Linked DNA regions of Rattus norvegicus. The protein of the gene in region 3 interacts with the protein of the main gene of each other region in a biochemical or structural test. Links are inferred from orthologs where the notes say so. Each region holds a gene or a part of one and is shown on either strand. Other genes may lie near its edges. The genes, in order: Ubqln2, Faap20 and Ubc.

Region 1 (3,821 bases), on a different chromosome or scaffold from region 3:
GATTTAAGAGCCATTATCAAAAATAAGATACATTTTTTTCAAGGTACAGAAACGGAATTAGGATGGCTGAGAGCCCAGCAGCCTCTCAATGGCCGCGTTGATGTCGCCTCCTGTTGCTATTAGGGCCTGCAAGTTTGCTTCGCGGTTTAAGAACCCCATGGCGTTGAGCTGTTCCAGTTGCTGCTGAAATCTCACTTCAGGATTCGGCGGCTGTGGAGGACTTCCTCCAGTGAGAGCCTGCACCATTTGCTGAATGAACTGCTGGCTGGGTCCAGATTCTGATGTTGGACTTATGGTTTCAGTAGGTGCAGAGCTGGACACAGTGGTTGCAGGCGGGATCCCGGTGCCGGTCGAGCCAGGGGAGCTGGCAGGGCCAGTGGGTCCTATAGGCCCGATGGGGCCTATGGGGGTGAAAGGAACGATAGGACCGATGGGCCCTATGGGAGTGACTGGGCCCACAGGGGTTATGGCCGTTCCCAGCACTCCCACCCCCACACCTGGAGTGAAGCCTGGAATGAGGCCAGGTGCTTCAGTGGCTAGTGTCTGTAGCCCCTGCTGGATCTGCAGTAGCGCTTGCATCGCTCTCGGGTTTGACATGGCCGCGATGGTTTCTGGACTCTGCATCTGCTGCAGGAAATTCGGGAGCTGTGGACGCATCTGCTCCTGCAGCTGAGGATTCGCCGTAAACAGTGGGCTACTCAGCATCATCTGGGCAGCCATATCTGGATTCTGGCTCAGCGACTGCATCATGCTTCTCATGTAGGGTGCAGACAGCATATTCTGAATCAGCTGGGGATTTTCAGTTATCTGCTGCAGCAGGCTCTGCATTCCTGGGGTGCTGAAGATGCTGGCCACATAATTAGCTGCAGCCATGGTGTTCCCGGCCGTAGTGCTGCTGGTGTTGCTGCCAGCCACAGTGCCACTGCTTGTGGTCGTGGTGGTGGTCGTCGCAGAGGTCTGGGTAGTTGGCGGTGGTGCCCAAGGATTAGGCAGCGGATCCCGATTCTCCGTGCGGGAAGGCTGAGTACCTTCCCCTGAGGAGGAACTGCTCCCCACCGTGGCAAACGGATTGCCCCCAAACTGCTCCTGTGCGGCATTCAGCATGGGTTCTTGAATGTCAGTGTACATGCGCCGCAGAGCATTGTAGCCACCTGGGATGCTTTCGAGATTACTGAGAGCCAGGTCTTGATTTCTCATCATCTCTTGCATCATGGCAGGATTCCTGGCGATTTCGAGAGTCTGCCTCATTATATCTGGGTTGTTCAGTAGGTGGCTGATTTCTGGGTTTCTCTGGATCAATTGTTGCATCTGTGGATTGGCCATGATGAGCTGCCTCATCAGATCAGGATTCGAAAGCATGCTCTGAACAAAGGGATTTTCCATGATCTGGATCATCATCTCGGGGCTGGCCAAGAGCTGCTGCTGCATCTGGTTCTGAAGCTCGGTGAAGTTGGACGAGTTCAAACCCAGGTTACCAAGGCTGGCAAGGCTTCCGAGCCCCAAGTTGCTGCTATTTGTGGTAGTAGCTGTGGTGCTACACCTGGGAGCCGATGATGTAGTCGCCGCCGGCGGCGCCGCCGCCGTGGTGGTGGTCGTGGTCGTCGTGCTCGTTCCCGCAGTAGTGCTGGGCTGCGTGGTGGCCTGGCCCTGCGGACGGTTCTGGCTTTTGATAACCAGGTGAACAGTCAGTCCATCATGGATGCCATGCTGGATCAAGGTGTCTTGATCTTTCAGGATTTTTCCAGCGAAAATCAGCACGAGCTGATCGGTTTGCGATTTGAAGCGTTTAGAAATCGCTTCCTTGAACTGCTGCACGGTGCTGTTCTCGGGCACCGCGAACTCCTCCTTCTCTTTGGGGGTCTTCACAGTGACTTTGATGATTTTGGGCTCGGCTGGCGGGTTGGCCGCGCCTGGGGCCGCAGCAGGGCCGCGGGAGGGGCGCGGGGGGCCGCTGCTCTCGCCGTTCTCAGCCATGGCGGCCGCGGTGACGCAGGCTCACAGGGAAGGCGCTGGCGAGCGAAGAGGGCGCGAGGGAAGGAGGCGCCGCGGCAGCGGACTGGGGCGGCCCGGCGGGCAGTGCGGAACACAGTACCTCAGAGATGAGGGCTGCGGCTCCTCCCGGTCGTCGGCTGCGCACTCGGTTCGGCGTAGGCCTCGGCTAAGGGCTGAGAGAGCAGGTCCTGCAGGCCGTCTCTGCCGCCGCCGCCTTGTGATCTGCCCGCGCGCACTCCCAGCGACTCCTGCAGCTGCGGCGCCCGCGCTCCCGCCCCGTCCCGCCCCCGGCCGCGCCCCGCCCCCTGCTGACGCGGCGCCAGCCCAGCGAGCGTCTCGCAGCCGAGCGCAAAACTCCTGCCCTGCAGAGGAGGGGGGGCGAAGAGGGGAGAGGGAGAGGGAGGGAGAAATAAACAAAGAGAGGGGGAAAGGGAAGGAAAAGGAAGGAGGCTGGAGAGAAAAGCGAGGGGACCGAGGCGAGGCGAGGGGGGGAAGGGAGGAGGCCGGGAGGTGGAAGAGGGAGGCAGCTTCTTTAGCAGCCTCTGAAAGACCAATGGAGAATGTGGGTTCGCAATCTGGGAGGCAGTGAAAGGATGAAAGCCTGAATTGAACCGATCCCAGGCAAAGGACGAAAAATGAATAGTAAAGAACTCTGACAAAGCAAAAAGGGAGAACGAGCACCCGAGTGGGGGAAGGGAAGGCATGGCGGGAGCGAGCATTTTACAAAAGGAGCCTAAAAACGACCAACAGGCTTCTGAAAATATGAGGCTCGCTCCTAATCAAAGGGATTCAAATAAAACAATGAGATTTTTTCCTTCGGGTTTATCATATTGGCGCCGATGAAAGAGAACGTTAAACCTTGTTGACCAGGAGCCGAGAAAATGCACTCTCATGCTAGTCGTAGTAGGAATTGTAATCGGGCAGTTTGAAAATACAAATGGACATTTTAAGTATTTGCACCTTTGTTTAGAAAGACCTAATAATCGATTCTAAAATCATATATATACATATATATATATATACACATACAACGTAGCATTTATAAACACAGCGTTTAGCTAGTTAAATGTGTCTGTAGCAGGAATACTATGATTTTGCCATACAATAAAATAATCCCTGTGTCTAAAAGATGGTGGCTAATTCATGTAGTATTACGTGTCTCTAAAAGAATACATTAAATGCACTGTAGTTAGGAGGAAATAATAGACGATATTTGGGGTTATATTTTCTATGGATTTATGTTTTTCTTAACAAATGGAAATAATACAGGCGTGTAGGTGTCAGTATCAAAAAGCTTGTAGACTATATGTGTGAAAAATAAATCTGAAGGGTGAGACTCCATTATGATAAAGGTAATTATTAATAGGAGATGAGATTGTGAATAAGGCTTATTTTTTATTTTTATAAGACTTTCAATTTTATGGATAAATATGCATTGCATTTATGATTTTTAAAAACTACAAATATATTTTCAGACAAAAATAAAGGTAAAAATTGACAGGCACACAATCGTGGCAGAAATGAACATAATCATTACAGATTAAATAAAGAAAATAAAAATGGAGTATTAGTGATATAGAAAACCTGAATTATAAAAGAAATAATTCTGAAATCATTTATGTTTATTTCTCTTGCTTTGAACACAGAAAATCCTTTTCCCATACAAAAACCTAGTGATGATTTAACAGCATTTCAAAATCATTACATCACAAATACCTCAATAAATCTCAGTGTAAAACAAAATATAGAGTCATTATGTCCATGAATTAGTATAAAAATGATCATATATACTAGGTCTCATACTAATATAATATACAATGAAAAGTGAA
Region 2 (3,821 bases), on a different chromosome or scaffold from region 3:
TTGAGACAGGATCTTTCTTCATAGCCCTGTTATCCTGGAACTCACTCCACAGAGCAAACTCATAGAGACCCTCCTGCCTCTGCCTCCTGAGCACTGGGATGAAAGGTCTGTGCCAGCACCGTTCAAATTAAACTTTTAAAGCCTTTCTTGGCAATACTTCGCAGACAGCTGGGACAAGGTCACTGCTGGGGCTGCTCATTACCCTGCTTCTACCTCCTCAGGTTCTAAAGATGGTTGGATTGGGGCTGGAGCGACGATTTAATGGTTAAGAACATTTCCTTTCTTTCTTTCTTTTTTTTTTTTTTTTCGGAGCTGGGGACCGAACCCAGGGCCTTGCACTTGCTAGGCAAGCGCTCTACCACTGAGCTAAATCCCCAACCCCAGTTAAGAACATTTGCTCCTCTTTGCAAAGGATCCAGGTTCATTTCCCAGCATCCGCATGGTAGCTCGCAACTGTAACCACAGTTCTAGGAGATCCAAGATCTTTTCCCACCTCTGTGGGCAGCAGACACATACCGCACAGATATCTGCTCTCGGATCCTTAGGAGATTAAACTTGCTGATCCTCTTCAAGCCTACAGAGATAGAAGACAACCTCGGTCCGGAATCCATCCCCGACCCTGGCCTGGACACAATTTCCAGGTTGTGGAACCTGGAAGTACTCACAGTAGGGGTGATCTCACCTAAAGATGAGAGGCAAAGTTCTGACTGGAGGAAGAGCCAGGAAAGGGGTTAGGGAGTCAGATGGTTGCAGGACAGGCTTTTGGACCGTCCCTGACCCCTGGGGGCTTTGCAGTAGAATGCTATTAGCGAATCCCAATGCGTCTGTCAAAGTGCCTGGGCTTTTGCTGCCACCAAGTGATGGGTTGCAGGATTGCAGGGCGGGTTATTGGCTAGGTAGGAAACCGGGGATTTTCTCTCTGAGCCTTCATCCCCTGGGCTTTGAGGTTTCATTGCCTCTCTCTTTGGTAGAAAAACCCAGTTCCTTCTATAAGAAGAAGAGGAAGATGATGGCAAAACTGGACTTGGGAATCTGGCCCTGTCCATGGGGCCCTCCTGAGAAAGGCCAAAGAACTGGAAACTGAGGCAGGGCATTGTCTAGTACCACTGGGAGGTGCCATCAGCAGGGCAAGCCTGACAGTTCTCAGCACGTGTTGACAGATGGGAGCCCAGGCTCCAGGGTCTGCACAGGGTCGGGTGGGTCCAATCTCGCACCCCTGCAAACTGGAGGTCAGCTCCACGCTGTCGCGACTCTCCCTCAAGGCGGCAGCCTCGTGTTCCCAACGGTTGGGATCTCGGCGCCTTAGATTTCCAGCGCCACAAAAGGGAGCTGGCACTTGGCAGAGCGGAGAGCGGGGGCTCTGGAAGCCTCCGGAGCGGGTCCCGGTCGGAGGGCGGGTCTGGCTGTAAGTCTCACTTCCGCCGGACGCTCTTAGGAGAAGGATGGAGGAGGAGCGGAGGCTGCGGGGGAGGCTGAGCCGCCGCAGGCCGCCCGCAGGGGGCGGGTGAGGCGGGACAGAGCGGAGGGGTGGGGTCCTGGGGGCTTTGGAAGGAGGTGGGAGCCTGGGAAGGCGGTGGGGACGCCGCGACGTTCCCGCCTAGCTGCGGGGTTCCTCGCACACGTGCATCGCGCTACTAGCCACGCTCCGCCTCTCTCCGGGCGCGGTCGCTTCTTCCGCCCCAACCCTGCAGTCCCCATCGCCACCTCCGCCACCCCTCTTTCCGTCGCCTATTTAGCCTCTCCTTTCGCAGCTCCAGGCTCCATTTCCTCCTAGAGTTCGTTTACCCTTCAACGTGAGGTTCATTCCTGTCCCCTTACTATGGGCTCCCTCCTCCTCCATTACTCCACTGTGGGCTTGCTCCCCACCCCAGCCTTGTTGCCCCTCACTGTAGAACCAACCCTTCGTGACATCTACCATGGATCCCCTGGCTGACCCTTCTTATGATTCCCAGGCCCCCTAACTGCCGCCCCTGGTTTCTCTCGGAGGAAAGTAAGAGTGAGCCGTGGGCTGCTCTGCTGCGCAGCACCGTGGGCGGGAACACGGATTGGACCCCGAACAGTCAGCCATTACCACCGCTGCCTGCTTTTCCCAGCCAGGTGTGTCCAAAAACACTAAGCCGGGATGACTCCGGAGAGGGATCTCAGGCCCTGGGGAGGTCATGGTGTTGGTGGCTATGACCTTAAGGGCACTGCTTTTCAGGAATCTCTGCCTGACCCAGAGTCCACTGTGCCTCCTGAGGTCTTCACTGTAGGATCCAAGACTTTTTCCTGGACGCCTTTTCCGCCTGCCCTTCGTGGCTCTGGAAGCTCCTGCCGCCTGTTACGTTGTCCTGAAGGCTCTCCGGGGTCACCTGCTCCATCCCTGAAAGGATGCCCTGCACTGGATTCCCGTCAAACTCCCAGCACCCAGGAGTGTGTGCAGAGTCAACTTGTGTTGCTGAACTGCCCATTGTGCCAGAAGGCATTTGACCCGAAGTGAGTGTCCCATCCCAGACCTCAGGCTGAAGACTTAGCTGGATGTAAGGCCCACTGGCTTAGGAGGCAAAGAGAGTGCCTGGTGGGGCTCAGGCCTTTTGTTTATGTAACTAATTTTTAAATTATAAATATTTACATACATGTGTGCCTGGCACGCATGCATGTGGAGGTCAGAAGACAACTTCTTGAAGTCTGTTCTGGCCTTCTATCACGTGAGTCCAGGGGTTGAACTCAGGTCCTCAGATTTGCTGAGCCTTTATTTGCTGAGCTTTCTTGCTAGTCCTGGTTAATCAAGCACAGAGTTGGCTTGATTAAATAGCTGTCAGAACATGAGGCAGGTGGGACCCTAGTTCAGAGCCCAACAGGCTCCTCCAGATGATTACAAAAGAAATTGTGCTGAGCTGGAAGTGGAGGCTTATGTGCTTTTAATCCCAGCCTTTGAGGGACAGATGTCTGAGTTCCAGGCCAGCCTGGTCTACATAGTGAATTCCGGAACAGCCAGTGCTATGTAGAGAGAGATCCTGTCTCAAAAAAAATGTGCATATTTATTGTTTGTGTAGTATATGTACATGTTCAGAGGGTTTGTACACAGAGGTGCTAGGGTGGGCTACACAGTGGGCTCAGGATACGCCTGTCTGTCCTGCCACCAGTACCTGTATCACGAATGTATACAGCCTTTTACATTGGTAATGTTTGCATAGAAGGTACGTTACCATTAACTGAGCCATCTTTCTAACCTCCAAAATGTGGCTTTTAAAAAAAAAAATCAGATTCAAGCCTTTATGAATTTGGGAGGGTCCCCAATCCCACCCCTCGACAACAGCTCTCTACTCATACCTATATAGCTGAGACAAGGGGGATGTTGACAGGGCTGCCTTGAGTCAGGTTATGACTGTACCCAACTGGGGTCCTGTTTATGTGACAGTGAGTGATTTGTAAAGCTGACACCTCTGTGCTTCTTACCAATCAAGAGACCCAGGGGCAGAAGCTGAGGGCTTAAGCCCTTTTGGGGAATTCATTCTCGAAGAGCCCATCAGATTCCTGATTATGTCAGGGCTCCCGCTCTTGTTCCGGGACAGCCTTTTGTCTGTGCTGTCCTTTGGTGTGTCTAAGAAAAGACTCTTGGAAGATAGGGCCATTGAAGAGGGGGCTCACTCCATCCGTTGGGTGCTGTTCAAGCAGCCATTTGAGAGCTTGGCAAAGCACCCTGCTTTTTTTTTTTTTTTTTTTTTTTTTTTTGGTTCTATTTTTCGGAGCTGGGGACCGAACCCAGGGCCTTGCGCTTCCTAGGCAAGCGCTCTACCACTGAGCTAAATCCCCAACCCCAGCACCCTGCTTTTTAAGGG
Region 3 (3,600 bases):
CCTGGATCTTTGCCTTGACATTTTCAATGGTGTCACTGGGCTCGACCTCCAGGGTGATGGTCTTGCCTGTCAGGGTCTTCACAAAGATCTGCATGCCCCCTCTGAGGCGAAGGACCAGGTGCAGGGTGGACTCCTTCTGGATGTTGTAGTCTGACAGGGTGCGGCCATCTTCCAGCTGCTTGCCTGCAAAGATCAGCCTCTGCTGGTCAGGGGGGATGCCCTCCTTGTCCTGGATCTTTGCCTTGACATTTTCAATGGTGTCACTGGGCTCGACCTCCAGGGTGATGGTCTTGCCTGTCAGGGTCTTCACAAAGATCTGCATGCCCCCTCTGAGGCGAAGGACCAGGTGCAAGGTGGACTCCTTCTGGATGTTGTAGTCTGACAGGGTGCGGCCATCTTCCAGCTGCTTGCCTGCAAAGATCAGCCTCTGCTGGTCAGGGGGGATGCCCTCCTTGTCCTGGATCTTTGCCTTGACATTTTCAATGGTGTCACTGGGCTCGACCTCCAGGGTGATGGTCTTACCAGTTAAGGTTTTCACAAAGATCTGCATTGTCTATGGAAAAAAAAACAAAAAACAAAAAACCAAAAAACAGGTCAGGAATGACACAAATTCTTTAGAGTGCCACCAACCGTTGGATCTGTGAGGTGGCTAGTAGTTTAGTCTAAATAGCTACACAGACTGTTTTGAATTTTACCCCCTAAAACCAACAAGAAAATAAAAGTCTTGATGGAACAAAGTTATGAATATTAGGCATTGTCTATTACCAAGTTGGCAGGGTGGAGCGTTCAGTACGGAACTGCTGAAAGTCAGTCCCTGACTATTTGCAGTTTGGAGAAAAGCCTGACCCACATTTCACCTTGGGGGAGGGGGGTTTAGGAGGACCCACTCCAAAGAAGTCAGAAACTCAAGAGCTTAGAAGGCAATAGTTGGAAATCCCGGATTCAGGTCCCGACTGGTAGATAGAGCCAGTTACTACTACAAAACTGAACTATGTTCATATCTTTCCTCCCAGCACTGGGGACACTGAGGTGGGCAGATTTCGTGAATTGGGAGGTCAGCCTGAGACAGTGAGATCCTGCCTCAACTCTCCTTCCCCCAAGCTTTTGTCTGAACAATTAAACAGTAGTTTACTCTTACTCTTATCCTCTTAACCTCTTACTTTCACCCCATCTGTCCCTTCTCTCCCCATTCTCCTCCCTGCTCTCTCTCCACATGTTCCGACCAGCTTTACTCCCTCCTCAACTCCCCTTCCCATGCCCTGAATAAACTCTATTAAAAAAAAAAGTAGTCTGGGGTAAGTGGCACTGGCCTTGGACCTCATCACATGGGTGGTAGAGGCAGAGATTTTTTTAAAGTTTAAAACCCTTGTCAGGCTGGTAAGATGACTCAGTGATTAATAGCACTGACTGCTCTTCCAGAGGTCCCGAGTTCAATTCCCGGCAACCATATGGTGGCTAACAACCATTTGTAATGAGATCTGATCACACCTCTTCTGGTGTGTCTGAAGAAATAAATCTTTTTTTTTTTTGGTTCTTTTTTTCCGGAGCTGGGGACCGAACCCAGGGCCTTGCGCTTCCTAGGCAAGCGCTCTACCACTGAGCTAAATCCCCAACCCCTGAAGAAATAAATCTTAAAAAAAAAAACACCCTTGTCTAATAAATAGTTTCCGCAGCCATATCCGTGTAGCGAGACAAGGAAAGACTCAATGTAAGTCAGGCTCACGTTCCCCCTCTGAATTTCCGGTTCCTGTTTACTCTGGAGAGGCTACCCGAGGCCGAGACCCAAACCCGGTCCTACAACTGAGGGAAAGCTAAAGCCATCGTCACTATACACTGTGAGACCACACAAACCGCGACGTCACAGGGGCGATAGGCTAGGCTGGACCGCCACCCTCCCCCTCCCTTCCCAATCGCACTCCTGTATTTAGCAACCGACGAATTCCGGATAACCGACATCTCCCTCCCGTCTAATACCCACAGTTCTCACATCAGAGGCTCCTACAGCGCGCCAACCGAATTCAGTTCCCAACCCAAGCCTCTGACGTTCCCGGCTTAACCGGCGGCAAGCGGCCTCGCGGGCCTGCTTCCCCCAACCTGGTCCAGCGCGTCAGGACCGCGCGTCTTCCCCCTCAGGCTTCCATTTGGCCGCCATCTTGCCGCCCGGTCCTCGGCCTCAGGACAGCAGCCGTCCTCGCGGGCCACGGAAACCAAACGTCCGGGCCGCGGGCTGTCTCTCGCCCCCTCCCGCCTCCCCGCCCCCGCCGGGTGTGGCGGCTTTCTCCTCACCAGCGGTGTTGGCTGCAGTCCTCACAAAAGAGTAGAGACGGAACTGGCGGTCTCCACGGAACTAGCTGCGGGACGCGAGGCGTCTCTTTATATAGTCATCGGGAGCCCCGCCCACCCCTGGATTCCTCCGCGGAAATGCGGTTGGGGACTACTTTTTAATGCCCGGTCCAATCTCTGCAATGGAAGCGACAGGCTAAAACCATTAAGATCGCTTCATGGGGTTGTTCCACTGCGAAGGCCAGAGAGTGAGGGGCTTTGTGTGGAGGGGCAGGACTGCGACCTTGCGCGACCCCGCGGAGGGATCAGCGCCTGTGACGTGATCGGCGCTAAAACCCGGCAGGGATCACTGCAGCCGGAGCGGACCTCGGCGCAGGCGCACTGTGGCTAAGCGAGCCGGAGACCCACCAACTACCCCCCACCCCCTCCGTCAAGGGTCCCAGTCGCCTCTTTCTGTTAGGGGGACCTAGGGCTTTGGCTCTTGTTACACTGATATTCCATTGGTGGCCTCGGCTCCTAAGTTCCCTCACCTCGAGTCGGTCGTCACTGTGCCCAGCCCTCTTTGTTTTGGCACGGTGACAGGATGGATGACTGTGCAAATCTCATAACAAGGGAAATGACAACGGTTTTTTTTATTTTTTATAAAAAAAATGGGGGGGGGGGGGATCTCTCCCCAGTTTGGGAAAACGAATCTGAATTCGTCAAGAAAAGCAGTCAGTCCTCACAGTTCTTGAAAACTGTTGGCATTAGATCTGAAGCCCAGTGGGCACTAGATCTTTCCAGATTCTTCCTAAGTCTGTTTATGTCTGGTGTCCTTGGATTCGAGAAGGTTCTGTTTTCTGTTCGATTGTCACTAAGGAAAGGTCAAAATATCAAAATGTTGTTCATATTCTGAGACTGAACCCATCGAAATCCTATTTTTTTAATTTTTGTTGTTCAGACAGGGTTTCTCTGTATAGCCCTGGCTGTCCTGGAATAGGCTTCGTAGACCGGGCTGGTCTCAAGTTTACAGAGATCCTTCTGCCTCTGCCTCTAAGTGCTGGTCTACAGGGCTACACAGTGAAACCTCGTCTTGAAAAAAACCAAAACCAAACAAAAACCCACACACACACACAAAAAGTACACGTTTAGTACAATGTTCAGATTACAGCAAACATATACCCCACTTGTAAAATTCAGCCTATTCAGGTTTTTGAAATGTAAGGCCTGAGACCTTAGAAGGTAAGAATTGAATCCCTAGGGTAGAGAGATGGCTCAGCAGTAAGAGCAGGTCTTCTTCCAGAGTTCAATACTGAGCAACCCTGTCAGGCAGCTAGC

Evidence for each region.
Region 1: the proteins of Ubc (region 3) and Ubqln2 form a complex in vitro, tested with the Homo sapiens proteins (8 studies listed by BioGRID, with this or other methods). The link is inferred for Rattus norvegicus from reciprocal best matches to the Homo sapiens genes UBC and UBQLN2.
Region 2: the proteins of Ubc (region 3) and Faap20 form a complex in vitro, tested with the Homo sapiens proteins (6 studies listed by BioGRID, with this or other methods). The link is inferred for Rattus norvegicus from reciprocal best matches to the Homo sapiens genes UBC and FAAP20.

What each region holds. Positions count from the first base shown.
Region 1 is NC_086039.1:21,229,967-21,233,787, forward strand, and holds the start of Ubqln2 (ubiquilin-2), read right to left. Parts: upstream 2,263-3,821; 5' UTR 1,975-2,262; coding exon 58-1,974; 3' UTR 1-57. UniProt on the Homo sapiens protein: Plays an important role in the regulation of different protein degradation mechanisms and pathways including ubiquitin-proteasome system (UPS), autophagy and the endoplasmic reticulum-associated protein degradation (ERAD) pathway.
Region 2 is NC_086023.1:171,089,722-171,093,542, forward strand, and holds the start of Faap20 (Fanconi anemia core complex-associated protein 20), read left to right. Parts: upstream 1-1,405; 5' UTR 1,406-1,442; coding exon 1,443-1,504; intron 1,505-1,952; coding exon 1,953-2,097; intron 2,098-2,200; coding exon 2,201-2,475; intron 2,476-3,821. UniProt on the Homo sapiens protein: Component of the Fanconi anemia (FA) complex required to recruit the FA complex to DNA interstrand cross-links (ICLs) and promote ICLs repair.
Region 3 is NC_086030.1:36,899,253-36,902,852, reverse strand, and holds the start of Ubc (polyubiquitin-C), read right to left. Parts: upstream 2,354-3,600; 5' UTR 2,287-2,353; exon of another isoform or gene 1,724-2,286; intron 554-1,723; 5' UTR 551-553; coding exon 1-550.